4 linked regions of the Stegostoma tigrinum genome follow. The protein of the gene in region 1 purifies or fractionates together with the protein of each later gene. This does not show direct contact. Links are inferred from orthologs where the notes say so. Each region holds a gene or a part of one and is shown on either strand. Other genes may lie near its edges. The genes, in order: pfdn4, pfdn1, pdrg1 and pfdn6.

What was found.
Region 2: the proteins of pfdn4 (region 1) and pfdn1 purify together in Homo sapiens (affinity purification with mass spectrometry; 5 studies listed by BioGRID and IntAct, counting the BioPlex papers as one, with this or other methods). This does not show direct contact. The link is inferred for Stegostoma tigrinum from reciprocal best matches to the Homo sapiens genes PFDN4 and PFDN1.
Region 3: the proteins of pfdn4 (region 1) and pdrg1 purify together in Homo sapiens (co-immunoprecipitation; 3 studies listed by BioGRID and IntAct, counting the BioPlex papers as one, with this or other methods). This does not show direct contact. The link is inferred for Stegostoma tigrinum from reciprocal best matches to the Homo sapiens genes PFDN4 and PDRG1.
Region 4: the proteins of pfdn4 (region 1) and pfdn6 purify together in Homo sapiens (affinity purification with mass spectrometry; 6 studies listed by BioGRID and IntAct, counting the BioPlex papers as one, with this or other methods). This does not show direct contact. The link is inferred for Stegostoma tigrinum from reciprocal best matches to the Homo sapiens genes PFDN4 and PFDN6.

What each region holds. Positions count from the first base shown.
Region 1 is NC_081372.1:44,346,054-44,353,857, reverse strand, and holds the start of pfdn4 (prefoldin subunit 4), read right to left. Parts: upstream 3,010-7,804; 5' UTR 2,839-3,009; coding exon of another isoform or gene 2,815-2,838; intron 1-2,814. UniProt on the Homo sapiens protein: Binds specifically to cytosolic chaperonin (c-CPN) and transfers target proteins to it. Binds to nascent polypeptide chain and promotes folding in an environment in which there are many competing pathways for nonnative proteins.
Region 2 is NC_081366.1:38,410,651-38,417,940, reverse strand, and holds the start of pfdn1 (prefoldin subunit 1), read right to left. Parts: upstream 3,003-7,290; 5' UTR 2,496-3,002; coding exon 2,463-2,495; intron 1-2,462. UniProt on the Homo sapiens protein: Binds specifically to cytosolic chaperonin (c-CPN) and transfers target proteins to it. Binds to nascent polypeptide chain and promotes folding in an environment in which there are many competing pathways for nonnative proteins.
Region 3 is NC_081372.1:55,170,719-55,178,122, reverse strand, and holds the start of pdrg1 (p53 and DNA damage-regulated protein 1), read right to left. Parts: upstream 3,020-7,404; 5' UTR 2,951-3,019; coding exon 2,864-2,950; intron 1-2,863. Other genes in the region: tubulin beta chain-like, read left to right, coding at 7,260-7,316. UniProt on the Homo sapiens protein: May play a role in chaperone-mediated protein folding.
Region 4 is NC_081387.1:28,276,649-28,284,321, reverse strand, and holds the start of pfdn6 (prefoldin subunit 6), read left to right. Parts: upstream 1-4,656; 5' UTR 4,657-4,727; coding exon 4,728-4,791; intron 4,792-7,673. UniProt on the Homo sapiens protein: Binds specifically to cytosolic chaperonin (c-CPN) and transfers target proteins to it. Binds to nascent polypeptide chain and promotes folding in an environment in which there are many competing pathways for nonnative proteins.

The sequences.
Region 1 (7,804 bases):
TCTTGGATTCAATTTCCCTCACAACAAAATGTAACATTCTGTTGATCCTGATCACTTATTGTACCTGCATACTAACTTTCTATAATTCATGTACTACAACACACAGATCTCTCTGCTTTTAAGAGCACTAAAGTCTCTCACCATTGAGATAAGATGATTATTTTGTAGTTATTTCTGCAAAACTGTTTATTTTGGTACTTTCCCACATTATATTCCATTTGCCAGATCTTTGCCAATTCACTTATCTATATCCCTTTATAGGCTCATGTCCTTTTCAAAATTCACTTTCCTGATTTTATTTATTTATTGTTGCATGTGCGTCATTACAAAATACAGTGAAAAGTGTTGTATAGTGTCACCACTCCACAGCTCCAACTTAAAATACGGAAAAATAAACCAAACATAGAACATAAAAGAAGTAGAAAGATGAAGAAATAAAGAAAAGATATTTAATTTTACGGTCCATCTTGTTAAGTGTTCCACGAAAGGCCATGGCCCTGTTGGCAATGTGTGAGTCTCCTTCGTTGCGTCTCTGCTGCTCGAATGAAAGTTGCCACTCTTGGCACCAATTTGCATCCAGTGATGCTCTTGTCACCATAAGTCCTCAACGGGCCTTGCCAAGGCAGACGCCATTAATGCTGCTGAGTACCACCAGCCCAAAATCGACTCCACCGCCGTCAGGATTGTAGCCAGTAGGCCTGAACTCGCCTCTGCTGCTGCCACCGCCTCCACGAATGTGGGCTGGATGCATACACCGCCAGGAACTCAAACTCACCTCCACCACAGCAGCAATGAGTCACCACTAGGACCACCTTGTCAGAAACCCAAACTCACCTCTGAAGACGCCACATAAGTCCGTGCTGCTGGGCCCACTCGCCACCACCGATGGATGCTGTTACCATGACTGAATTCATCCCAAGAGGTAAGTGAAATAAAAAGGGAAAACAAAAACAACAAGAGGGGGATAAAAGAAAAGCAAACAGAGTAGATGAGCCCTGGACTAAGAAGCCCTACTCCACTGAAGAATGTCTTTCCTGCTTTTGAGTCAACAGTAAACTTAGTTACCATACCTTTGATCTGTTCATCCAAATCATTAATATAACATGTAAAGAAATGAGACCCAAGCACCAGCCCATTTGGTTCAGCATTTGTGACATCCTGCTACCCTGAAAAAAGACTCATTTATTGTAACTCTCTACTTCCCATTAGCCAGCCAATCTTCTATCCATGCATATATTACTGCCAAGGGCTTTTGTTTTTCCCAATAACATTTGATGTGGCATCTTATTAAATGCCTTCTGGAAATGTAAGTACAATACTTTCACTGGTTCCCCTTTACTCAGAGCTGGTACTTCAGATATTGTCTAAGCAACCCATATAGAGATGTTACTACATACCTCTGGAGCAGGTAGGACTTGACCCAGGCCCATAGCTCAGACTTAGAGATTCTACAACTGCAGCACAAGAACCCTAAAATAATTCTTGAAAGAACTCAAATAAATTGGTTAAACATGATCTCCCTTTGACAAACCCATGTTGGCTCTGCCTGATATCCTAAACAACTTATCATAGGATAAGTTCAAGTTTCTTATAATAGCTGCTATTATTACCAATGTTTTGTAAAGTTTCATCATTATTTCCTTGCTTTTATAATGATGCCTCTACTTTGAAAGCACTGCATGTTATTTACCTATAAAACCAATTTCTTAACCAACCTGCCCCTTTCAACAATGAGTGAATGAATGATTGATGATTTATAGTCCCTTGTACTCCACAGTCAATAATAATAATACAGTAAAACACAGTGAAACAGATCAAACGTCACCACATTCCAGCATCAATAAAAAGATAAAGCTGAAAGAAAGTCTATCTTCATTCCAATGCCTCCACCAGAAGTCCTGAGCCTGCTGGCCAACGACTTCTGTCCCAGACCCACCAACATCAGAGATTACATCAGTTCATTGCTAGGCCAATGGGCTGTTGACACCAAGTCCTGTGACAGGACCACAGCTGTCTTGCAAACAGGAACCCCTAGCACCACTGCCTCTGCAGCCACGCCATTAACCAGAAGACCCGGGCTCTGCTGCTAGGCAAAACTGGAAGCATATATTCCTTCAGGTCTCTCAAGGCCCTTTTGGATGTTAATAGTTTGGTTAGTATTGCCTCTTCATTCTGCTAAAGTGCATAACTCTACAGCTTTGAATTTTATCTGCAACTTGTCCAATATGCTAAACAAGTTTGAGAAACTGAGAATGGACTTGAAGGCTTGTGATGCTATGTTGAAGTTAAATACCACGTGGAGGTACATTTCAATCACTTTTCTCCAACGCATTTGCTTTCACGTTTGAGTTCACAGTTAGATGACACGGCTGCTAATATTTGGCACAAATACGTATTGATTTCCCTGCACCAGTTGGGCTTCAGCAAGACGAATGAACCTGAACTCAGAGTATTTGGGCTCAAAGGCTTAAGGTAAACTCTCAATTGTAAATAGGTTGACATTTGACATAAATACTGCTCGTTGGAACACGTACACCTTGAGGCGACCAGACAGGTTGCCATATACAGAAATCAGATAATACCTTCAAATGTATATACGTAACTTGTCCCAGCATAAATACATAGGGACCCATAGAGAAAGAATGCCCTGTACCTGCTATCTCTCTCTCTCGCCTGTTTACTCGTGCTTCACTCTCACATACTGCTTCACTTTTTCTTTCTTTTTTAAAAATCCTTTCAATCTCTCTCTTTCACACACACTTTCTGTATCATTCACCCTCTCTTTCACGCTTTCTCTCACACACACACACTCACCGCTTTCTTCATGGTAGCTGCCATCTTTGCGGACTCTTCCACCCACGTGTTCACCGAAACCGATCCAAACCCCTGTCCCGCTCTCTACCACCAGCCCGTGCAACACACACTCCGTTCCCAGAAGTAAAACATTCCTCTCGTTAAAATAACGGCGGCGCTAAATTTCTCGGAGAAACTCAACATTTACCCGTATCAAAACTGTGGTACCTTCCAGTTAAAGGGATCATCGCTTTTAAAGGGCACGTCGCGGTTCTCTGCCGATATAAAAGTGCAACTGTTCCCAGATAACAAAGTGCGGGGCTGGATGAGCATAGCAGGCCCAGGAGCATCTACGGAGCACGAAAGCTGACGTTTCGGACCTAGACCCTTCATCAGAAAAGCAGAAAATGCATCATTGAACACAGAACAGTTACAGTACGGTACAGGCCCAGCAGTAAGAAAACAAAAAACGAAGAAATGCTGGAAAAGCTCATCGTGTCTGTGGAGAGAAATCAGAATGAACGATTCAAGTCCAGGGACCCTTATTCAGAAGTCAACAGCAAGAATTGGTCTTAGTGAACACTGTTCCAATTATATAATATCAATTCTAAAACATATAGAAAAAACATTCAGAGAAGCCAGAAGGTGTTTTCATATACATGTATATACAGCAAGGGGAAAGTAATTAGCAATTAGATCCTTAAGAAGTAGTAGCAGAATGTAGCTATTGAACCTCTCCAGTCTGCTCTACCATTCAGTTTGATTACAAATGATCAAACACTCCTCATATCCATTTTCCTGCCCTTTCCCCATAGCCTTTGGTCGCTGTATTGATAAGAATCAATCTACCTTGGCCTTAAGTATACACCAGGACTCTGCCCCCACAGTTCTCTGCAGCAAGATGTTCCCAAAGATTCACTACCCTCAGAGTGAAAAAAACCTCCTCATCTTAACTTTCATTGAAGACTTTATTTGGAGACGGTTCTTGTGCTAGCCCCAGAAATATAAGATGCCATCTGATCTCAAGATATGAGGTAAGTAAAAGAAAGCCGATAGGAAAAAGTAACAAGAAAAGTGTAGGTGATGTGGTGTCCCAATGGTTAGCACAGTGCCAGGGACCTGGGTTTGATTCCAGCCTAAGGTGACTATGTGGAGTTTGCACATTTTCCCTGTGTCTGCGTGGGTTTCTGCCAGGTGCTCCAGTTTCCTCCCAAAGATGTTTAGGCTAAGTTGCCCATAGTGTTCAGGGGTGAATAAGTTAGGTGTGTTAGCTGCACGGTTATAGGGAAAGGGTAGAGTGATGCTGTTTAGAGGGTTAGTATGGGCTTGTTGGGCCAAAGTGCCTGTTCCCACACTGGGAATTTGTCCTATTAAACTGAACTGCCTCCAATGAAATATATATTGTCTTAGATGAGAGGACTAAAAGTACAGATAAAATCATTTCAATGATAGAGGAGATAACAAGAGATAAGCAAGCAGTTAAGACTTTATAATGCAGTAAATAATTAGGCTTTGACTCCTTTGTAAAAGTTATGTATTGAACTTCACCTTAGGCAGCTATTAAGTGGGATACATGCAACAAGTCAGACAGGTTTGTCGAGGAAAAGTGGTTTTAATTGTGGGTTTTACCTTTCCATAACATGATAAGTTGTTGGTGCAGAATTAAGCCATTCAGCCCGTGGAGTCCTGAGCAGCATTCAATCATGGCTGATGTGTTTCTCCACTCCATTCTCCTGCCTTCTGCTCATAACACTTGATCCCCTTACTAATCAAGAACCTTTCCATCTCTGTCTAAAAGTCACTCAATGATTTGGGCTCTGCAGCCTGATGTAGCAATGATTTCCAGATTAACTACCCTCTAACTGAATAAATTCTTCCCTAACACAGTTATAAACGGTCATCCCTTCACTCTGAGGACCTTCACTCAGGTCCTAGTCTCTCCTACTTGTGAAAACATCTTCTCCACATTGACTTAATCCAGGCTTCTCAGCATTCTGTAAATTTCAATCCAAATCCCCTCATCCTTCTAAACTACATCAAGTACAAATCTAGTGTCTGCAACTGCTCCTCATATTACAATCCCTTCATCCCCAGGATCATTCCCATAAACCACCTCTGGACCCCTTCCAAGGCTAGCACATCCTTCCTTAGATATTGGGCCCAAAACTGTTCACAGTTTTCGAAATACAGTCTGACCACAGCCTCAGTAGTACATCCCTGTCTTGTGTTCCAGTCCTCTTGAAATGAATACTAACATTGCTTTTGCCTTCCTAATTGCCAACTGACGATGCATGTTAACCTTAAGAGAATCTTGAACTAGGACTCACAAGACCTACAGATACCTGTCTTCTGCCTTTTTTTCTTAAACAGGGGTATTACATTAATTATTTTCATTCCTCTAGCACCCCCCCTGACTCTAGTGATTCCTGAAAGAGCTCACTAATGTTTCCAAAATCTCCTCCGCTATCTCCTTCAGAACTCTGGGGTGTAGTCCATCTGGTCTGGATGATTTATCCACCTTCAGACCTTTCAGCTTTCCCAGCACCTTCTCCTTAGTGGCCACTACACTCACCTCTGCTTCTGACTCTCGCAATTCTGGTGTGCTGCTTGTGTCTTCCACTGTGAAAACTGATTCAAAGAACTTGCACAATTCGTCTGCAACTTCTTTGTTCTATATTATGACTTCTTAAGCCTCATTTTCCATCCTTTCTTACAAGCTTTTTCTATATCCTGATTTATTTTTATTTTGATTGGGATAAATAGATAGATGCATCTGAAAGGGTTAATAATGCGGAAAGCCGTTACTGGCTGTTATATGTCATATGGAATTGTGGAAAGAACAAATTAGGATCTTGAAAGAGTGAATCCTAAAATCTAGTCCACCCCAAAGTCTCTATAACAATGTTGTTCACTTCGATGTAAACAGCTAGTTGCTAATATGCAAAAAAACTATTTTTTTTATACTAGACTCTTCTAGTTATGCCAAGAAGTGGATCTCCTTGTCCATGATGGATAAAATTAGCCCTGTGGTTTCATACATTTCAACAGGATGGTGGCAGCAACTTTCATTATGAGCAGCAGCTCATACAGCATAATGAGCTGGCACGGCTATATAGCAAGCATCAATCAGAAACATAGTGAATTTCTTGTTTGTACTGACAATAGTTTTTTTTGTGGCAATCTGGTGCAGAACAAACTTAAGCACAAAAACATTAAATTTAGAAATGTGTAATGAGTCAAGTTCAGATTAAATATCCATTTAATAATACTAATAATAAAACATTGGGATCAAGTCCATGGAATCCCTGTCTTGAGATCAAATTACAACAATATTCTTTCAAAGAAGCCTAAGCCAATAGCAAGAAACAGTAGAATTACTGATGAACAGATTACATTTCTTTCATTGGCTGGCACCAGCAGTGGTCAAAGTAATGTGCTGCTTTATCATAACTGCAATTTTTGTCTTCTTACTTGGCAGCCCACTCACCTTTCATTACAAGATTCTCAGTGGTTGCAGTAATCTTTGTTTTTATTCCAGATCTTCACAACTGGAGTATTTGACTTCCATTAACAAACAAAACAGATTTGAACTACCACGATAAATCAAAGGTCGTTTCTTGAATTAAAAGGGCTATGTTTTGATGATATGACTCATGATTTCAATGCACAGCTCAGTAACATTTGGGCAACAAACATGCAAAGAGAGCCATGCTTGCACAAGAAATGTGATCCAGCTGACTATATCTGTGCTTATATAATATATCCACTGCCTGATTCACTGTACAGTAGTATGTCTGCACAACCTTACCATCATGAGGTAAATGCCTGTAGCTTATAGGTGACTATCAGAGGATGAGGAGGAGGAAGAGATCAACTTAGCAGACACAATAAGGGTTAATTGTGCATTGCGATTCCTGTTTCCATTTTCTGGGACTAAGTTATTTAGTCCACAGCATTTTAATAAAATTACATTCTTCCAACACATTTGGAGAATAAAGCCGGTTTAAAGATGAACATCAACCAAAAAAGTCGTTAGAAGAAGGTTGAGAGGTGACTTAATTGAAACATATAAAATAATCAAAGGGTTAGATAGGGTGGATAGGGAGAGCCTTTTTCCTGGGATGGTGACGGCGAGCATGAGGGGGCATAGCTTTAAATTGAGGGGTGAAAGATATAGGACAGATGTCAGAGGTAGTTTCTTTACTCAGAGAGTAGTAAGGGAATGGAATGCTTTGCCTGCAACGGTAGTAGATTCGCCAACTTTAGGTACATTTAAGTCGTCATTGGATAAGCATATGGACGTACATGGAATAGTGTAGGTTAGATGGGCTTCAGATCGGTATGACAGGTCGGCACAACATCGAGGGCCGAAGGGCCTGTACTGTGCTGTAATGTTCTATGTTCAAAGCAACTTAATAAAGGCTAGGATTATAAGACTACAAGGAATAGGACCAGGAACAAAGTAGGCTATTCAGCCCTTCAAGTCTGCTGCACCATCCGATAGGATCATTTTTAAACAACATTCCTTGCATCCACTTACCTGAATTCTCAGAATTTTCTACGACTTTCCTCTCTCAACCTTTTGAATAGCCAATGGCAACATGAAATTGTTCCATATTTCCTGAGTTCTCCCTTCAACTGCTTGTTTTGTTCTGAGCACATAATTGCAACTTCCCACCAACCCCACTACAGTTCCCATATTGTGCTTTCCAACTGACATAATGATTATCACCGTCAGATCTAATCTCAGAAGAAAAGCTTTCTTGTTGTGATGTATAAAATGCTGATGGTAGGCACGTGTGTGTATGAACTTTAGCATTGACTTTCAAGTAACTCAGCAGAAGTGCCGGCACCCCACAACTTGTAGTGAAACGACAATATTAATGGAAACGTACATCTGACAGGTTTGTGGAATTTAGAATAGTCTGTATAATATCAGGGGGCCTTCTCATGCTTAGGACACACTCACACAAAGTACTGCTCTTTCGCTGTACTTCCCAGAGGGAAACCA
Region 2 (7,290 bases), on another chromosome or scaffold:
ACTTATTAACATTAAGAGTAATTACAGAATCTTCATCTAGCCACATATTCTCAAAAGTTTTGAAGAAGAGACATGATCTCAAAGAAGCCTACAAAACACTCATGGAGATAACAGGGTGCATGCAGGTAAGATGTTCATCCTGTTTGGGGAGTCCAGAACTGCAGTACAACAAAAAAAAAAGGAAGCCATTGAGTAACAAAAAAATCATGAGTCCTGACAGTGTGGTGAATCTTTGGAATTCTCTGCCTCAAATGACTACAGAAGACCATTCATTGGTGTACATTTAAAGTTTGATACATTTCTTATTACCAATGGCAAATGGGTTATAGAGATAGTGTGGTTAAAAGGAATGAAAGCATTCTATCGACTATGATCGTAATAAATGACCAAGCAGTCTCAGAGAGCTATTCCTGTACCTATATAAAGGACCGATTTTAAATCTGTCTACTTTCTCAATCCCTTCACTTAAAGTTTCACTAACTATAATTTTCAAGCATGCAACTTTATCATTCCTTTAAAAACCTGTAATAGCCTTATATAAAGCACTTTTGAAGTTCTTAATTTCACATACAACTCTGAACTTCCAGCTTTTCAAAAGAAATTCATAAGAAATTAAATATGATTCCACAGTTCATTTCTTTTCTCATGAATTTCTAGAAACGAACACAAAAGCCTAAGTTTTTTTTAGCAGTCAATACCAATGACGGAACCATGTGTAAATTAACTCGTGACAGAGTTTCAGTTTGGTGAACAGCAGTGTGCAAACCAAACACTTCAAATGTAATCCTGCTAAAGTCCTGGATGCCAAGATAGAAAGGCAAGGGTCTAATTATTTTAATCTTGCATTCAAATTAAACAGCATATCAATAATTATAGTAGTAATAGTAATACAGCTGGACAATGTCTTTCAAAAAAAATGTTCCTGCAATAAAATAGTCTTATCGACACAACAACCACAAAGTCAAGCTACCATAGGTGGGATGCCATTCATGAGAGGTTTAATCCTTCCAACATGCTCAAGCCAGGGGTTAAATGTAAGAGTTTGCCTGGTGAACCGTGCTGAGTTTCCCAACCCCCAGATGAATGAGAACAGTGAGCGACAGAAACAGCATCTGGCTGTAAAATCAACTGCCAAATCCCAAAGGATGACTGACATTAAAGTACAGTGACCCAACATAATATGGGAAAAAGCTGAAAGAAAAGAAGATAGTCCATCAACGATTGGTTGTGCCAATACAATAGCATTAATGCATCCAGATGACACAAGCAACAGACTTTATTGTCGTTGCAACCTCAATGTAATCCAGTCTGTGCCCACAAATTTTACATTTACTACATAAACTGTTTATTCTAACACACATCTGATAGTGGAAGTAACTCACAATGCTACAGTTCACTAAATAGGTCCCCCAGGCACAGTGGTTCACATCCACTTGTTCCATCACAGGCACTAGCTTCAGTAAATTCAGTCTACAAACGCATAATAGCAACTCGACATGGTTATACTAACAGTCTGGCACCCATAAACCTCCACCACATGAGCAAAAGAAGCAGTGAAGCATTATTGCCAAATCACTCATAATCCCAGTGCAAATAAAATATCACTGTTACTGGTTATATCTTGGAATTCTCTATATAACACCACAGTGAATGTACCATTCACTGCAGCAGTTCAAGGTGAAAGCCACCATTTTCTCAAGCAACTAGGGATGAACAGTGAATGCAGCCTTCTGGGTGACACCCTCATCCTCAGTTTTTTTTTTAAAAAAGAACTGCTGAATAACTGATTATTGTTGCATCGTCCTCTGAGCACAAAGGTCTTTGAACTGTCTACTTTAAAAAGTGAGTTTGCCGAATTAACCATGCTGAGTGTGATAGAAATTGACAAGAAAATAAAAATTCTGTTAATTCAGATAATAAACAATATTACAAACACTTTAGGAAATTAAAATCTGAACATTTATAGGAACACTTAAAACAGACGACCCGTGAACAAACCCGTCCAAAATGATCGGTATTTGTCCAGATACCGATCGTACTGACTTACTTGTTGTGGTGCGCTTCCAAAATTTTAAAATATTAAGGCGTAAACCATAATCGTTAAGACAACAGGTAAGATCTGACATGAAGGAAAATAAATGCATTTCAACAGTACACAAAAGTGATAACATCTTGTACTCTTTAACACTCTAGAAATATCTCACTCCAAAATAAGTCAGAAATCGTGTTATTGCTGTCTATGGATTATACACATGGCAAATTTTCAACTCAACAGGGTGGGCAAGACTTCCAGCGCAGCCAGGCCTGCACCAACCACTCACTTTTAATAACCACCGAAAACAAATCAATGCTAAAACCCTCCCACAACATGTGCCTTTTATTCTGAGAAAGTTAAAGCCAGCGATCGGTCATCAAAAAAGGATAAAAACGCGAAGCAATGAGACCCCTGTGTCTTCCTGTACCTTCTTCAACTCCAGATCCACGGGGGCTGCCATCTTTAGAGGATGAGCGCATGCGCAGACCGCTCCTTACCGGCGGCGAGGAGGAGGAGCAGCGAGAGAGTTCGATGTGCACTGTCATGTGGTTTTTATTCTTGGGTCCCGTCTAATATCACACAACAATGCTCGATTGAAGCGGGTTTCCGATTTCATTTTATCAAATCAAAGTGAAAATACTGCGGATGCTGGAAACCTGAAGTTAAAAAACAAACAGCAGCGACGTGGAACGGAGATTGCTGGAAAAGCTCAGCGGGTCTGGCAGCATCCGTGTGGAGAGAAGTCAGGGCTAAGGTTTCAGGTCGAGCGACCCTTCCTCTGAGCTCCGGCAGCGTCTGTGGATGCAGGAACAGAGCTAACGTTTCGAGTCAGAAGTCAGTGTTTAGGAAGTTCCTGAGTTCTGAAGAAAAGTCACATCGGACTCGAAACGCTACCGCTGTTCTCCGTCCACAGAAGTAGCCGAATGGTGTATTCACGTTCTCATAGCCCCTTCATGTGCACAGTCAGGCTTGTGTGCCGGAACTGGCGCAGTTCTGAGGTCTCCACAATCTTTGGACACGTTGTTTGCTTTAAGTTTCTCTACATTTTGTAAACAACTGGTTCATGTTGATTAGGTAGTTGAGAAGATACGATTTGACCCTGGTTTTCTGTCAGGTTAACCTTCTAAGGGAAGTGACGCTTTGTTGAAGTAATTGGTATCTCTTGTTCCCTAGTGAAAGCACCACCTTTTTTTCAATATAGAATCACTTCCTGTTATAACATCATCCAGATGAAGCAGCATTATTTCACCAATTTAAACATTGGGAAGCCAGTTTTTTTTTTAACATGATGGGTTGTGGTATCACTGACCCGGTCAACATTTATTGTCCATTTGTTATTGCACTTTATACTGAGTGGCTTGCTTGCCCTTTTCAGAGGGCAGTTAAAAGGGTAATCACATTCCAATGGGATCTGGAATCACACATAGGCCAAAACAGGTAAGGATGGCAGATTTCCCTCAACCTAAAGAACATTAATGAGCAAGGTGAGTTTTTGCAACAATCAAGGACTATTTCATGATCCTGTGTTTTGAGGAAGGGTCACTGGACCCGAAAAATTAACTCTGTTTTCTCCTCCACGGGTGCTGCCGGACCTGCTGAGCTTTTCCGGCAACTTTGTTTTTGTTCATGATTCTTACCTGAGACTAGTTTTCAATTCAAGATTTATTAATTGTACTTAAGTTCCATCGGTTTCTGTAGTGGCGATTCAAACAAATGTCCCCAGTGCATTACATACTGAGGAAGAACCACTGGGCCCGAAACATTAACACTGAGTTTTCTTCACAGATGCTGCTGGACCTACTGAGCTTTTCCAGCAACTTCTGTTTTGTTCCTGATTTATGGCATCCACAGTTCTTTCAGCTTTTATTTCCCCAGTGCGTTGCCATGGGCCTCTGGTTTACTAGACCATTGACATTACTGCAATCCTACCACGTCTTCAAGATACATGAGCAGCATAACGTTGCTCCTCCACCCAATCACTTCCTGAGTTTGCATAAGATATCTGCTGCCCTAGTACTTTACAGCAGGAAAAGATAGCGGTGTAGCGATAATGTTAGTGTTTGTGAATCCTGATGGGGAGGTTCCATCTGGTTTGCCGTATGAAATGTTTTTGGCAGCCTTTGCATGATGACTACCAGATTACTCCACCCCCTAGGAATCATGGTAGCCCACAAACCGGCAGCTACACTGCGACAGCTACTGATAATAAAGAAAGGGTCTCACAACCACAACTAACAGAACCAATGTTATTTACAAGATACCATGCAAAGACTGCCAAAAACGTTATACGGAGCAAACCAGAAGGAAACTAACCATCAGGATTCACAAACACCTATTAACTACCAAGAGACATAACCAACTATCACTCATTTCAGTACACCTGGACAAAGAAGGATACCAATTCGATTGGGACAACATAGCCAAGCTAGGACAAGCCAACCAAAGACATGCATGAGAATTTCTGGAGGCCTGGCACTCAAACCAGGACTCATTAACAATGATGTAGAGCTGGACCCCATATACCAACCACTAAGAACCAAATCCGGAAGTGATGTCACTCATACCAAGAAAGTGGGACATATAAATAGTAAGCGGGAGAGAACACCGACGTTGCACCAGAGGCACACTGATGATGTTACCCAGTATGATGACAAAACGTCTGCAAACAAACTTACCAGCTGAACAAGAAAGTCGTCGACTGCATTACACCCTCTCTGCATAATGTTTTCCTTGACTCATACATGGAATGTGAGCTTTGCTGGCTGAAACAACACTTATTGTCCATTCCTAAGTATTCTTGAGAAGGCGGTAATGAGCTGTCTCCTTGCCTTGCTCTCAGATGGTTATGAGTGTTTGGAACTCTCCATTCATAACCAAAAAATTTTCAAATGTCATCACCACATTTAAAATTCGTTTTTCAGTGTAGTGTGATATGAATGTTGTCAGTATTTTGCAACCTTTAACTGGGCATAAGTGAGTCCAACCTCATTACTATAACTTTATAATACAAGACTAATTGTTATTCAGAGTTCATGTTACCAGGGTTCACTTCCTGTGATAGCTCATGTCAAAGCTGGTAGGAGCAAAGGAAAGATTTACTCTAATTTCTAACTTGTTGTGACATTGTTCAATTTTACTGCTCTAGTTCAGGATTTCAGGACAGGATGAACAACCACTTTGTTCATGAAGAAAGTAAGCAGTTTCTTACTATATATCATTCTGGAAAAACCCCAGTTGGCCTCAATCAAGCAGAATGTTCTTGTGCCAGCAAAACATTTCCTATGAATTTGGTGAACGTATTCAGAGAAATCCAATCTACAGCAGTAAAGTTAATTACAGCTGACCTTTATTTTGGGAGTTAGAAGTCATCACAGGCTGCGTTGACAAAAAAATATCTAAAGTCGCATTCACAGTACAACATCAGCATTCTACTAAGCAGTTTTCACTGTTCAAGTATTACTGAAGTTGTACTGTAAATTTAAAGATCGGATTAATTTGATTTGTCACCGCAGATGGTGCAACTACGGCACAATGTCAAACTGCATTTTAAAAATCTTTTGAAACCTACCGCTACATGCATTTAATTTAAATGTTTAGACAATGCATTCTCTGTGGCCTGTACACAAAACATTTTCCTTCTAATTGCTTGTGGAGGAGGTCTCTATTGCATTTAAGAATCAAAGTTCCAGCTAGACCACATGAAAAGTATATTGTCTCACTGCAAGCCACGAAGAAATGAGTAGGTGTAGCACAAATGTCATATTTGACACGACAAAATTAAGAGGTTATCACAGACCGTCTTGAAGATTCCAAAATATGAAAAGCCCTAAGTTATGCACAAAGAGAACAGCCATCGGGCAGAACATTCCAATTGCTGGCATTCATATTCATAAGTAATTTGTATCAAAAACATCTTTCTTCTATCTTTTGCCTTCTTTTCTTAGTGACATTAACTCAGTCCGTAATACAGTTCACTGCATACCTGCAGCCTTCCAACATTTTACTTAAGTGCCCATTCTTTTATGACTTTTGAAGGCTTCAGGCTCTGACAACATTCTGGCAGTAGTGCTGAATATTTATAGTAAAGAGCTTGGTCTGCTCCTAGCTGAGCTGTTCCATGTAGAGCTGCCAGACTGGCATTTACCTTACACTGTGAAAAATGGTCTAGGTGTGTCCTGTACACAAAAATGACAATTCCAACCTGACCAATTAACGCTCCATTAGTTTACTTTAAATCATCAGCAAAGTGCCGGAAGGTGTCATCAACAGTGCTATTAGGCAGCACCTGCTTAGCAATAAACTGCTCACTGACACAGTTTGGGTTATGCCGGGGCCACGTGGCTCCTGGCCTTATTACAGCCTTGACTCAAACATGGACAAAAGGCCTGACCAGAGGTGAAGTGAGACCATTTGCTTTTGATATGAAAGTAGCATTTTATCAAGTGTGAAATCAAGGAGCCATAGCAAAACTAGTGTCAATGGGAATCAGAAGGAAAATTCTCCACTGAATGGAATCATCCCTGGTAGAAAGGAAGATAGCTGGGGTTGTCGACGATCAGTCATCTAAACTTCGGGAATTCTGTGCAGAAGTTCCTCAGGTTAATGTCCCAGGTGCAACTATCATCAGCTGCTGCATCAATGATCTTCCCTCCATCATAAGATCAGTAGTGGGGGGTGTTCACTGATGATTCCATAATGTTCAGCACCGGTCACAACTCCTCAGGTACTGATGCAGCCCATGCCCAAATGCAGCAAGATGTAGACAATATCCAGGTATGGGACTGACATGTGGCAAGAAACATGTATGCCACACAATTGCCAGGCAATGACCACCCCCAACAGGAGAGAAGTTGACCATTGACATTCAATGGCACCACCATCACTGAACCCTACTGTCAACAAACTGGGGCCCCATTTATCAGATAATGATCTGAACTGGCCATATAAATAATGTGGGTAACTACAGGTTCAGAGGCTAGTAACCCTGCAGAGAGTAACTCAACTCCTGACTCTAATTGGCATCCATGGTCAACAAGGCACAAGTCAGGATTGTGATGGTGTGACTGCCCACTTAATTGGATGAGTGCAGCTCCAATAACTCAAGGAGCATGACACCATCCAGCAAAACTGCCTGCTTGATTAGCACCACATCCACCACCAGACACATTGCAGAAATTCTCAAAGATAGCTTCGAATATACCTTTCAAAGACATGGCCATTATCATCAAGAAGGACAAGGGTAGCAGAGGAACATC
Region 3 (7,404 bases), about 11 Mb from region 1:
CAGGTCTGGCAGCATCTGTGAAGAGAAATTAGAATCATCATTTCAAATCCAGTGATACTTCTTCAGAACATCCTTTTAGATATGTCCCTTCTCACCTTAAACTTATGCCCTCTAGTTTTGGAAAGCCCCAGTCTAGGGAAAAACCTTGTCTACTCACACTATCATGATTTTATGAACCTTTATAACGTCACCCCTCAACCTCTGATGTTCCAGGGAAAGTAGCCTCAGCCTATTCAGCCTCTTCCTATAGCTCAAACCCTCCAGCCCTGGCAAGAAGCTTGTAAATCTTTTCTAAACCCTTTCAAGTTTGACAACATCTTACCTATAGCAGGGAGACTAGAATTGCAGGCAGTATTCCAATAGCGGCTAACCAATGCCCTATACAGCCACATGACTTTCCAAATCCTATACTCAATGCATTGACCAATAAAGGCAACCACATCAAACGCCACATTCACTATCCCATCTACCTGTGACTCCACTTTCAAGAACTATGAAACATGACTCCAAAGTCTCTTTGCTCAACAACACTCGCCAGGACCTTACCACTTAGTTTGTAACCCCTGCCCAACTTGCCTTTCCAAACTCCTCACATTTATCTAAATTAAACTGTACCTGCTGCTCCTTATCCCACCAGCCCATCTGATCAAGATTCCATCGTACTCCCAGGTAACCTTCTTCAGTGTACACCACGTATTTTGGCATCATCTGCAAATTTAATAACCATGCCTACGTTCACATCCAAATCATTCATACAAATGACAAAAAGCAGTGGACTCAGCACTGATCCTTGTGGCACACCACTGGTTACTGGCCTCCAGTTTGAAAAGCAACCCTCCACCACCACCCACTGTCCTCTACCTTTGAGCCAGTTCTGTATCCAAATGGCTAGTTCTTCCTGCATTCCATATGATCTAACACTGTTAGCCAGCCTACGATGTAAAACTTTGTTGAACGTCTTAATGAAGTCCACATAGATCATGTTCACCACTCTGCCTTCATCATTCCTGTTCTTTACTTCTTCAAAAAAAATTCAATCAAGTTAGGTTAGACACACTTTCCACACACAAAGCCATGTTAAACATCCTAATCAGTCCTTGCCTATCCAAATACATCTAAATCCTGCTCCTCTGTGTTTCTTCTCACTGATCTATAGCTCCCTGACTTTTCCTTACCACCTTCTTCAAATAGCTAATCTCCAGTCTTCCAACACCTCATCTGAGGCTATTCATGATATAAATATCTCAGAAAGGGGCCCAGCAATCACTTCTCTAGCTTCCCAAAATGTTCTACGGTACATCTGGTCAGGTCCTGGGGATTTAGCCACCTTTACGCTGGAGCAGTTCAAGAACAGGTTGGTCTCATGGCCAAGTTGAGTTTGGTCAGGCCATGATAGGAGACAGGAGAGAAGGTGGGGAAGGAAGAAATAACAGGGCTTGGGTATGGAAGAGCATCTGTTCCAGTTTGTCTCAAAGAAAGAAAAAGTGGCAGAGGTAGGTGATCAGATGATCTCAAACTTAGTGATGAAATATCCATAAATTTGTGGTAATCACTGCAGTTGAAAGCTGCGGAAACTGGTTACAGTAGAGGAAAAAGCCAGGTGTTATCTATTATCTCCAAGATTATCCTGGAGTAAGCAACTTTCAGAAAACAGCAGGACCAGATAGGAGCTTATCTGGTCCAGCTTCATTTAGCGGTAAACGACTAAACTAGGTTTCTGCCAAATCCTTTCAAATGCTCATGCCTCAGAACATAAGATACAGGAACAGAATTAGGCCACTCGGCCCACAGAGTCTGCTCAGTGATTTGATCATGGCTGATATATTTCTCACCATTCTCCTGCTTTCTCACTATAACCCTTGATCCCCTTAACAATCAAGAACCTAGCTATTTGTCTTAAATACACTCTATGATTTGGCCATCACAACCTTCTGCAGAAGTGAATTCCACAGATTAAATAAATCTCTGGCTGAAGAAATCCTCCTCATTTCAGTTCAAGAGTGTGCGTTAGAGTCCTAGTCTACTCCTACTAGTGGAAACACCTTCTCCATGTTCAGTCTTTCCAGACTTCTCAGCATTCTACATGTTTCAATAAAATTCACATGTCATCGTTCTAATCAATTGAGTTCAGACCACTCTTCACATAACAAGCCTTTCATCTCTTGGATCATTCTTGGAAACTTCCTCTGGGCCCCTCCAATGCCAGCACATCCTTAGATTGCAGGCCCTCAACTGTTAACAATATTACAAATGTGGTCTCACTAGGGCCCCACACAGCCTCAACAGTACATCTCTGCTCTTCCAGAAGTAGAAAGGTTTGCAACTACCCTTACAAGACCCTCATTTAGGAAGGGTAGAAATTAGTCAAGGTTGCTCCCATTATCCAATGCATTATGTTTTTCTGGTGAGAAATATTTCTCTAAGTCCTTGACCCTTTTACTCTGATACTTGAGTTGAGTAATCTATTGACATGGTGCATCTTTCTATCTATCTTAACATTTCTTTTTTAATATTTTGTCATTAAAAATGGTAACCAGAACATGGCAACTTAAACACTTCTCACCTGTATTTTCCCAAATACAAGTGACAACAAATTACTATACTACACAGACTGCTAGCATTGCATTAGCCTTCCTAACTGCAAATTGAACCTACATGGTAACCTTAAGAAAATCCTGAACTAGGTCTAAGTCCCTGGGTAGGCTGACATTTAACACAAACACATTTGATGATGGCCCTATACCCGGCAGGGACACTTGGTGCCAGGTCCAGTAGTAAGCGCAGTATAGGCATGGTCAACAACGAACGTTTCAGCGCCGACGATCCACGCCAACCCAACCCGAAACACAGGCCGCCATTGTACCTGCTGTTTATCAGCCAGCAAACTCTCCGCCAGCTCCTCCACCTCAGTCAGATAGTTCACCACCTCCTCCTCCGGCTTCCGCGCCATCTTCACCCTGAACCAACTTCTAACCGTCTCCGCCCGAGCTGTCAATCAACAGAGCTCCACCCGTTTCATTGGCGCTGCCCAGTTCCCCGTGTGATTGGTGAATATACTGCCAATCAACGGTATCTTTTGTGACGAGACTCAACCGCGCAGCATCCTGGGAATTGAAGTCCTTTCTGGGCTTCTTCCAAACGATCCAGCCCACTATAATAATAAAATGTGAAGCTGGATGAACACAGCAGGCCAAGCAGCATCTCAGGAGCACAAAAGCTGACGTTTCGGGCCTAGACCCTTCATCAGAGAGGGGGATGGGGAGAGGGAGCTGGAATAAATAGGGAGAGAGGGGGAGGCGGACCGAAGATGGAGAGTAAAGAAGATAGGTGGAGAGAGTATAGGTGGGGAGGTAGGGAGGGGATAGGTCAGTCCAGGGAAGACGGACAGGTCAAGGAGGTGGGATGAGGCCCAGTTCGTCCCCTCCCCCCACTGCACGACACAACCAGCCCAGCTCTTCCCCCCCACCTACTGCATCCCAAAACCAGTCCAACCTGTCTCTGCCTCCCTAACCGGTTCTTCCTCTCACCCATCCCTTCCTCCCACACCAAGCCGCACCCCCAGCTACCTACTAACCTCATCCCACCTCCTTGACCTGTCCGTCTTCCCTGGACTGACCTGTCCCCTCCCTACCTCCCCACCTATACTCTCTCCACCTATCTTCTTTACTCTCCATCTTCGGTCCGCCTCCCCCTCTCTCCCTATTTATTCCAGCTCCCTCTCCCCATCCCCCTCTCTGATGAAGGGTCTAGGCCTGAAACGTCAGCTTTTGTGCTCCTGAGATGCTGCTTGGCCTGCTGTGTTCATCCAGCCTCACATTTTATTATCTTGGAATTCTCCAGCATCTGCAGTTCCCATTATCTCTGATCCAGCCCACTATTTAGGTTCAGTCCTTTTCTCCTTTTCTGTTCTAAGTGTTTCTCTGGCTTCCTCTTCGTCACTTTAACCATCCTATGTGGCAGTACCTTCCTCGTTTTGACCACTCTCTCTGGATGAAAAAGTGAATCCTGAATTCTTACACGCAGAGAACGCTGGAGAAATTATAGCAACATTGTTAACGTTTGAAGTCCAGCACTGGAGGGTTTGAGTTATAAGTAGAGGCTGGAACTTTATTTCTCCCTGGCCAAAGGAGGTTAAGTGGTGGCCTTATAGAGGTTTATAAAATCGTAAGGTGCATTGATAGGGTGAATAGCCAAGGTCTTTTCACCAGGTAGAGGAGTCCAAAAATAGGGGGCAAACGTCTAAGATGAGAGAGGAAAGATTCAAAAGGGACCTGACGGGCAACTATTCCACACAGAGGGTGCTGCAGATTTGGAACGGGCTGTCAGAGGAACTGGCATGCAAAATTACAACATTTAAAAGACGTTTGAACAGGTATATGGATAGGAAAGGTTTAGAGGAATACAGACCTGACATAAGCAAATGGGACTAGTTCAATCTAGGAACCTGGTGAACATGGACGAGTTGGGCTGAAGGGTCTGTTTCTGTGCTGTATGACTCTAAGATTCTAACCTTATTTAATTTATTTGGATGATCATACATTCTGCTGCAACTGGAGTTTATCATCTCTATGACTTCCCTTTCATAACTTAAAAACCTCAAGGTCTTTTTTCTCGCGGAAGAAAATCTACACATTCAATGACTGCTGACAGATATAAATGCTCAGCTCTGGTATTATTTGTGTAAATCTTTTTAACATTTTATTCAGTGTCTGTAAATCCTTTGTATGACATTACCTCAGTTCAGGTGTTACACTTGTTAATCTTTATTTGCCTTTATATGCTTGGTACCTTTATATTATTTTTATAATATGGAAAGCAGAACTGTTCACAGTATTCCCAATCGCAATTTAACTAAATTTCAACAAATCTTCATAAAGAATGTTATATCTCTGCTTTTCAATTTTATCCCTTATGAAACAAACTCCTGTGCTTGGTTTGTGCTGTTGTGGATTTATTAATCTGTATTAATAATGTCAAAAATGTGTCTGTCTATAACTCCAAAGCCTCTGCTCTCCAATCCAGTGAACACTCTTTTCTTGTTTCCAGGCAATATGTACTCTCTCTATTCCTCATCCTAAAAGATGCTGTCTTATACTTATCAATGTTCAATAAGGGTTTCAAATAACCTTTCCAACTTTTCAATATTATACCTCTTGAAATAAAGACTCATGTTTGATTTTCTTCTTTTATCACCTTGCTAACCTATGGCCTAACTTTAGTGATTTGTGCATTTGTAATTTTGTTATTATTCATTAATGGGATGAGGGCATTCGCTGGCTAGGCAGCATTCATTGCCCATCCCTAATTGCCCAGAGAGCAGTTCAGAGTCAACCACATTGCTGTGGGTCTGGAATCACATGACCGGACCAGGTAAGGATAGTAGAGATAATAGGAACTGCAGATGCTGGAGATTCCGTGATAACAAAGTTTGGAGCTGGATGAAGACAGCAGGCCAAGCAGCATCTTAGGAGCAGGAAAGCTGACGTTTCAGGCCTAGGAGGGCAGTTTTCTTCCCTAAAGGACATCTTGAACCAGTTGGGTTTTCAATGACAATCTGCAATTAGATTCCTAATTCTAGATATTTTTATTGAATTCAAATTCCACCATCTGCCATGGTGAGATTTGAACTTGGGTCCCTAGAACATTATCTGGGTGTCTGGAGAAACATTCCAGGGATAAATACCACTAGACCATTGCCTCCCCCAGACTGACATGTTCAATTCTTCCTACCAGGCTTTGGAAGGAATGCATCTGGATAAAGTATGAAGTTTTTGTCTCCTTATTTAAGAAACCTGTCAGCATTATACTAGAAGCAATTCTGATAAGAAAACCCATTCAACTCAGATCTGGGATGAGGTGTCACCATATAAGGAAAGGTTGAACTCTGTCAGAGGCGTCCATAGGAGTTTAGAAAACCGAGAGGTAATCTTATTGAAATAGCTAACATCCTAAGGGAACTTAACAGGTGGATTCTGAATGGATATTTCCCTGTGTCAGAGAGAACTAGGGGACGTGTTTCCAAAGATGGAGATGAAGAGGAACTTTTATAAAATACTTGAGCATTATGGGCATGTGAAACTCTTCCCTATAGAATGGTGGAGGCTGGATCTTTTGAACATTTTTAAGGCCAAGGTGGAAACATTCTTAAGAGCAAAAGAATTAAATGGTTTTGGGAGCAAACAGTTAAGGGGAATTAGGGCAACAATCAGATCAGTCATGATCTTGTAAAATGACAAAACAGATTGAGGGCCCTAATCCTGACTAACTTGCATTTTCTGATGTATGCTTGTGTTGTTGCATCTCACACTTATCTGTGCTAACCTTCATTTGTTAATCATATATCTATTCTTCAAGTTCCTTTATTTCATTGCAGTCCCCCTTTAGTTTAACTACACTGCTTAATTTGGTGTACAATTACAAATATAAGGTATTATCCTTTGCCTGTTTCATTCTGCAGTTGTAAAAGCCTTAGCGAGAACCATATCTTGAGTGTTATATGGAAAGATTGATTTGGTCCATACTGCTTAGAATGTAGAATTATGAGAAGTGATCCATTAAAACATACGCAATCTTAAAATGAACTGATATGATAGCTGCTGAAATGATTTTTCTCTGACTTGGATGTGTCTACATAGCTTTCAAATAAGGGGTGGGACAATTAAGACTGAGATCAGGAGAAATGTATTCCTTCAAAGGGTTATTAATCTTTGAAATTCTTTACCCCAAGGAGGATGTGTGCTTAGTCCAAGATTCGTCAGAGATCCATAGATTACTGTGTACTCAAGGAATCGAAGGATATTGGAAGAGTATGGGAGATGGAATATGAATAAGTAGATCATCCATGATCGTAGTCAATAGCACAGCTGGCTCGAGAGGCTGAAGTAATCTACTCCGGTTCCAGTTTCTTAAATTGTTATGTTTAGCTCATAGTACGTGCTGCAAGGCGACTACATCTCCCAGAGTGCACAGGTACGGACACTTTATAAAAGCTGTGGTCGAAGGGGGCGCTTCGCTAATGTGAGCCGGGAGCTGCAGAGCAGTGTCTCGCTAATAGTTGCAGAGCTGTATCCTCACAGCCAGCCCTCCGCAGCATTGACACCCTTATTCAACAAACAAAAACCGAGCTTTACAACTGTCTGCAAACACCCCGTTCGCTGCAGCATATATAAAGAGATCAACCGTTCTAAATTCTTCTTGTAGTTGATCTTGGAGTATCTCCCAGAAGAAACCAGCGTCCCCTAAAAACAGCAGGAGCAACAATGAGGGAAATTCTGAACATCCAGGCTGGACAATGCGGGAACCAGATCGGAGCCAAGGTAAGAAATCCGCCATCAACAATATCCAAATCGTTTCCGTTCATAAAAATACACAATGCACATCATTTCTGTCAATCGAAACGATACT
Region 4 (7,673 bases), on another chromosome or scaffold:
GCCTTGGTTCACACATGGACAAAAGAGCTGAACTCCAGAGGGGAGGTGAGAGTGACAGCCCCTAACATCAAGGCTGCATTCGACCAGGTGTGGCATCACGAAGCCTGAGCAAAACTGGAATCAATGGGTATCGGGGACAAACTCTCCGGTGGTTGGAGTCAGACCTGACACTGAGGAAGGTGGTTGTTGGGGGTCAGTCATCTCAGTTCCAGGACATCTCTGCAGGAGTTCCTCAGGGCAGTGTCCTCGGCCCAACCATCTTCATCAATGACCTTCCCTCCATCATAAGGTCAGAAGTGGGGATGTTCGCTGACGATTATACAATGTTCAGCTGCTCCTCAGATACTGAAACAGTCCGTGTCCAAGTGCAACAAGGCCTGGAATGAGAAGCAAGAAGTGACATTCACACCACACAAATGCCAGACTATGAAGAAAAGACTATAAGACAGAGGAGCAGAAGGGGGAACGCTGATTCACTTTATTCTATACTTGACTCCCATCCCCCGACATAAGTGCCACCATTCCCCAGCTCTGTCAGCTCAGGCGAAGGTTCACTGGACCCGAAATGTCAACTCTGTGTTTTTCTCTCTGTCTGAATTCTACCGGACCTGCTGAGTTTCTCCAGCACTTCCCATTTGTACTCCAAATGGAGAAAATGTTCCAGCTGATAATAAACAGCAGAGCATTTAGCATTGAATAATATGACTGTGCAGAACACATGGTTTCATGAAAGGTGTAATGATGCTCTGTCAGATAGATTAGAATTCCTTGAGCAGGACAGGAGAAGAAGCAGAGAGTGCTTGATGAGGTAGACGCACCCTCGGTGCTGGGGACGCTACATTCATGGGGAACTGTTCAGAAAGACACTGTCCAGTGAAGTTCATCAACATCCTCTGTCTCCTCCACAACAAGATGTGAGAAACAGTCCCCACTGATGGTAACCTGAGAGAATGGAGTCATAGTGCGATACAGCACGGAAACAGATCCTTCCATCCAACCCATCCATGCCAGCCAGATTTTCTACATTAATCCAATCCCTTTCCCCAGCATTTGGCCCCTATCCCCCCAAACCCTTCCTATCCATATACCCATCCAGGTGCCTGTTAAATGTTGTAACTGTACCAGCCCCCACCACTTCCTCTGGCAGCTCATTCCATACACGCACCTCCCTCTGTGGGAAAAAGTTACCCCTCAGCTCCCTTTTAAATATTTCCCATCTCACCTTAACCCTATATGCTCTTCGATATTCACCCTCTCTATTCACCCTATTCATGCCCCTCATAATTTTATAAACCTCTATAAGGTCACCCCTCAGTTCCAGGGAAAGTAGGCCCACCCTATTCACCCTCTCCCTAAAGCTCAAACCCTCCAACCCTGCAAATCCATGGAATCCCTACAGTGTGGAAAAAAGCCATTTGGCCCAATAATTCCACACTGAACCTCCAAAGAGCATCTGACCCAGACCCATTCCACTATCCTACCCCTGTAAATCTACATTTCCTGTGGCTAATCCACCTAATCTACACATCCTTGGCACTACAAGGTAATTTAGCATGGCCAATCCAGCTAGTTTGCACATCTTTGGACTGTGGGAGGAGACCAGAGCACCCAGAGGAAACCCACACAGACACGGGGAGAATGTGCAAACTCCACACAGACAGTCGCCCGAGGGTGGGGTCGAACCTGTGTCCCTGGAGCTGTGAGGCAGCAGCGCTAACCAGTGAACCATCGTGCTGTCCAACAGCCTTCTAAATCTTTTCTGAACCCTTCCCAGTTTTACAATATCATCCCTGTACCAGGGAGACCAGAATCAAACGCTGTATTCCAAAAGTGGCCTTCGAAGTCAAACAGGATATCATCACTGCTAGATAACAAGGTGTGGAGCTGGATGAACACAGCAGGCCAAGCAGCATCATAGGAGCAGGAAAGCTGACGTTTCAGGCCTAGACCCTTCATCAGGCCTGAAACGTCAGCTTTCCTGCTCCTAAGATGCTGCTTGGCCTGCTGTGTTCATCCAGCTCTACACCTTGTTATCTCGGATTCTCCAGCATCTGCAGTTCCTACTGTCTATCATCACTGCTGCCATTTTCTTCATCTTCATCATTACCAATCTTCACCTTATTAAGAACAAACTTCTCAGTAATGCGGACATTGTCTACAGGATAGACAACCTCAGTCAGTTGAAATTTAAGAAGGATATGACACCAAACTGGGTGATCAGCCATGATCATAATGAATGGTGGTGCTGGCTCGAAGGGCCGAATGGCCTACTCCAGCACCTATTGTCTGTTGAAAATATTACAACTTGCTTGTCGAACTTCAGCATGAAGACGACAATCTCATCTCTGCTGTCTCGGAAGAGAATTTTCAAGCCTCTCGTAATGTCTTAGTGGAATCATACCAATGAATTGGTGTCAGCGTCAACCTTTAGGAGACTCAAAAGTCTCCTAGCAGCCCTTCCCAAGGCAAAATTCTGGTCCATCCCACCATTTAGATCAATGGAAAAATTGTATCAAAATGGAACATTTCCTTTACTTGGAAAGCTAAGTCACATCTAAGGCTGACATTGATACGGCGATCCAACACCACATCCAATCTGTGAGTATCGCCTTGGCACATCTAAGGATTAGAGTCTTCGATGACCATGACATCCATACTGATACCAAGAGATATTTAAGGCAATCACCCTTCTAACTTTTCTATAATGGCTCAGAGTCGACTATGTGTAGACTCTCAAAGCTTTTGAGAAGCACCGCCAACACTGTTTGAGATTGATTCTGTGTATTTTGAGGACAGACGTACTAACATGAATGTCCTTGAAGCAGCTAACAGCACCAGAGGCCATGGTCATCCAAAACCAACTCCGCTGGGCTGGCCACTTACTTAGGAAGTCTGAGTTTCGACTACTACAGTAAATCATCTTCACGCAGTTCAAGAAAGGCACACGAACAAGAGGAGGGCAAAGGAAGCATTTCAAAGACTTCCCAAGATGCCTCAAGAAATGCAACATAAATGTTATCATGTGGAAGACCCTCATTCAGAAGAAACTGAATGGAGGAAACTCCTATGTGAAGGGACACAATCCTCAGAAAGCACATGTAGGTAAGCGGAAATACAGAAAAGGAGCTGAAGAAAGAAATGCCAAAGGCCAATCCCATCTCCTGGAAACACCTGCCAAATGTATATTTGGAGATGCAACCCTAGGATCAGGCCCATTGGCCACACAAGGAACCACAGACCCATGACCAGTGACACAGAATTTCTTACGGGGACAATCAGACACACACCACCCCCACCAAATCTGATAGCGAGTAGTTGCTGACAATGGTGATGTGAGCATGAATAGAGGATTGACCAACTCATAGAAAACAGAGAGTTACAGGCTCGATAGGCCCTTTTTCTGCAACCAAGGTTCTCTGATTCGATGAGGGCTGACCATCACGGAGTTGGGAGACCAGGATCCAGCGGCAGAGATGCTCTTTGGAATCCAGTTGGTTGAAATGTTGTTAGATCTGTACACCCTTTGCTTACTACAATCTAGCTGGTACTGCTAAGAAACAAGGCTTTTCACTGTACTCAGGCACACGTGACAACAAATCAATCAGTCAATCAGTGGGTTCTGCAGGAGCTTTGCCTGAAGGCGGTGTGGAGCTGCCATGGTTCACAGGGTCTTGCCACTGGAGACAGCCCCAGATAAGGTTCACACGTCTGACCCTGGGTTGAGGAGACGTTGGGTAGTTTGAGCCCCTACTGATCGGAGCTTGGAACGAGAGGTGACCTTATCGGAACATACAGGATTCCCGGGCAAACCCGACAGGAAATAAAAGCAGATGTTGGTGGAAAAGCTCAGCAGGTCTGGCAGCATCTGTGGAGAGAAATCAGAGTTAACGCTTCGGGTCCACCCTCCCACAGAACTGATGGTGGCCAAGAACATGTTAGTTTATATGCAGAAGACAGGGTGGCGGGGGGAGCAGGGGGGGATAGAGCCCAAAGAGAGAGAGTAGCTGGACAGGCAAAGGAGCTGGTAATGATCAGGCCGGGAGGGTGAGTAATTATTACTGGGGGCTGTCAGTGGCTAACAGCAGGGGGCGGTGTAAAGGGATGCACTGGGGGGCGGGGTCAGGGCGACGTTCGAGCCGGGGGCGGGGTCAGGGTGACGTTTCAGCCGAGGGCGGGGTCAGGGTGACGTTGAGCCGGGGGCGGGGTCAGGGTGATGTCCGTGCCGGGCGCGGGGAAAGGGTGATGTCAGCGTCGGGGGCGGGGTCAGGGTGACGGTAGAGCCGAGGGCGGGGTCAGGGTGACGTTCAGCCGGGGGCGGGGTCAGAGTGATGTCTGTGCCGGGCGCGGGGTCAGGGTTAATGGGAACTGCAGATGCTGGAGATTCCAAGATAATAAAATGTGAGGCTGGATGAACACAGCAGGTCAAGCAGCATCTCAGGAGCACAAAAGCTGACGTTTCGGGCCTAGACCCTTCATCAGAGAGACGTCAGCTTTTGTGCTCCTGAGATGCTGCTTGGCCTGCTGTGTTCATCCAGCCTCACATTTTATTATCGCGGGGTCAGGGTGATGTTCAGCCGGGGGCGGGGTCAGAGTGATGTCTGTGCCGGGCGCGGGGTCAGGGTGATGTTCTTAGCCGGCAGCGGGGAAAGGGTGATGTCAGCGTCAGGGGCGGGGTCAGGCGTCGAGACGTCAGTCGCACGGCGGCGGGGGTCAGAGTTCGGTGAAAAATGGCGGACGGGATCCAGAGGAAGCTGCAGCAGGAGCTGGAGAAGTACCAGGCGCTACAGAAAGGTAGACAGAGATAATGGGAACTGCAGATGCAGGAGAATCCAAGATAATAAAGTGTGGGGCTGGATGAACACAGCAGGACAAGCAGCATCTCAGGAGCACAAAAGCTGACGTTTCGGGCCTAGACCCTTCATCAGAGAGGGGGATGGGGTGAGGGTTCTGGAATAAATAGGGAGAGAGGGGGAGGCGGACCGAAGATGGAGAGTAAAGAAGATAGGTGGAGAGAGTGTAGGTGGGGAGGTAGGGAGGGGATAGGTCAGTCCAGGGAAGACGGACAGGTCAAGGAGGTGGGATGAGGTTAGTAGGTAGGAGATGGAGGTGCGGTTCGGGGTGGGAGGAAGGGATGGGTGAGAGGAAGAACCGGTTAGGGAGGCAGAGACAGGTTGGACTGGTTTTGGGATGCAGTGGGTGGAGGGGAAGAGCTGGGCTGGTTGTGTGGTGCAGTGGGGGGAGGGGATGAACTGGGCTGGTTTTGGGATGCGGTGGGGGAAGGGGAGATTTTGAAACTGGTGAAGTCCACATTGATACCATTAGGCTGCAGGGTTCCCAAGCGGAATGAGTTGCTGTTCCTGCAACCTTCGGGTGGCATCATTGTGGCAGTGCAGGAGGCCCATGTTGGACATGTCATCAAGAGAATGGGAGGGGGAGTGGAAATGGTTTGCGACTGGGAGGTGCAGTTGTATGTTACGAACTGAGCGGAGGTGTTCTGCAAAGCGGTCTCCAAGCCTCTGCTTGGTTTCCCCAATGTAGAGGAAGCCGCACCGGGTACAGTGGATGCAGTATACCACATTGACAGATGTGTAGGTGAACCTCTGCTTAATGTGGAATGTCATCATGGGGCCTGGGATAGGGGTGAGGGAGGAGGTGTGGGGACAAGTGTAGCATTTCCTGCGGTTGCAGGGGAAGGTGCCGGGTGTGGTGGGGTTGGAGGGCAGTGTGGAGCGGACAAGGGAGTCACGGAGAGAGTGGTCTCTCCGGAAAGCAGACAGGGGTGGGGATGGAAAAATGTCTTGGGTGGTGGGGTCGGATTGTATATGGCGGAAGTGTCGGAGGATGATGCGTTGTATCCGGAGGTTGGTGGGGTGGTGTGTGAGAACGAGGGGGATCCTCTTGGGGCGGTTGTGGCAGGGGCGGGGTGTGAGGGATGTGTCGCGGGAGACGCGGTCAAGGGCGTTCTCGATCACCGTGGGGGGAAAGTTGCGGTCCTTGAAGAACTTGGACATCTGGGATGTGCGGGAGTGGAATGTCTTATCGTGGGAGCAGATGCGGCGGAGGCGGAGGATTGGGAATAGGGGATGGAATTTTTGCAGGAGGGTGGGTGGGAGGAGCTGTATTCTAGGTAGCTGTGGGAGTCGGTGGGCTTGAAATGGACATCAGTTACAAGCTGGTTGCCTGAGATGGAGACTGAGAGGTCCAGGAAGGTGAGGGATGTGCTGGAGAGGGCCCAGGTGAACTGAAGGTTGGGGTGGAAGATGTTGGTGAAGTGGATGAACTGTTCAAGCTCCTCTGGGGAGCAAGAGGCGGCGCCGATACAGTCATCAATGTACCGGAGGAAGAGGTGGGGTTTGGGGCCTGTGTAGGTGCAGAAGAGGGACTGTTCCACGTAACCTACAAAGAGGCAGGCATAGCTGGGGGCCATGCGGGTGCCCATGACCACCCCCTTAGTCTGTAGGAAGTGGGAGGAGTCAAAAGAGAAGTTGTTGAGTGTGAGGACGAGTTCAGCTAGGCGGATGAGGGTGTCGGTGGAGGGGGCCTGGTCGAAACCCCGCCCATGGCTGACAGAACCCCGCCCATGGCTGACGGAACCCCGCCCACAGCCGACGGCCTCATCGCTCCGCCCACAACCTCCACAGCCTGCAACCCCAGAGGAGACAGCCACACTGAGCCCTGCCGCATCTTCACCTTCCCCCCAGACCTCCCACTGACTGAGGACGAACGGTCAGCCCTAAGCAAGGGGCTCACCTTTGTCCCCCTACAACCACACATCAACGAATACCAGTCACGGTCGGACATAGAGCAGTTTTTCCACCGTCTTCACCTCCATGCCTACTTCTTCAACCGGGAACCCAACCCTCCCTCCACTGACCCCTTCACCCGCTTCCAACACAAGTCCTCCTCCTGGACACCACCCCCAGGCCTCCTACCCTCCCTCGACCTCTTCATCTCCAACTGCCGTCGAGACATTAACCGCCTCAACCTCTCCACCCCTCTCATCCACTCCAACCTCTCCCCCGCAGAACGGGCAGCCCTCCGCTCCCTCCGCTCCAACCCCAACCTCACCATCAAACCCGCAGACAAGGGTGGCGCAGTGGTAGTATGGCGCACTGACCTCTACATCGCCGAGGCCAGACGCCAACTCTCCGACACCACCTCCTACCGCCTCCTCGATCATGACCCCACCCCCGAGAACCAAACCATCATCTCCAACACCATTCATGACCTCATCACCTCAGGGGACCTCCCACCCACAGCCTCCAACCTCATTGTTCCCCAACCCCGCACGGCCCGTTTCTATCTCCTTCCCAAAATCCACAAACCTGCCTGCCCTGGTCGACCCATCGTCTCAGCCTGTACCTGCCCCGCCGAACTCATCTCACCTATCTGGACTCCATTTTCTCCCCTTTGGTCCAGGAACTCGCCACCTACGTCCGTGACACCACCCACGCCCTCCACCTCCTCCAGGACTTCCAATTCCCTGGCCCCCAACACCTCATATTCACCATGGACGTCCAGTCCCTGTACACCTGCATTCCGCATGGAGGTGGCCTCAAGGCCCTCCGCTTCTTCCTGTCCCGCAGGCCCGACCAGGCCCCCTCCACCGACACTCTCATCCGCCTAGCTGAACTCGTCCTCACACTCAACAACTTCTCTTTTGACTCCTCCCA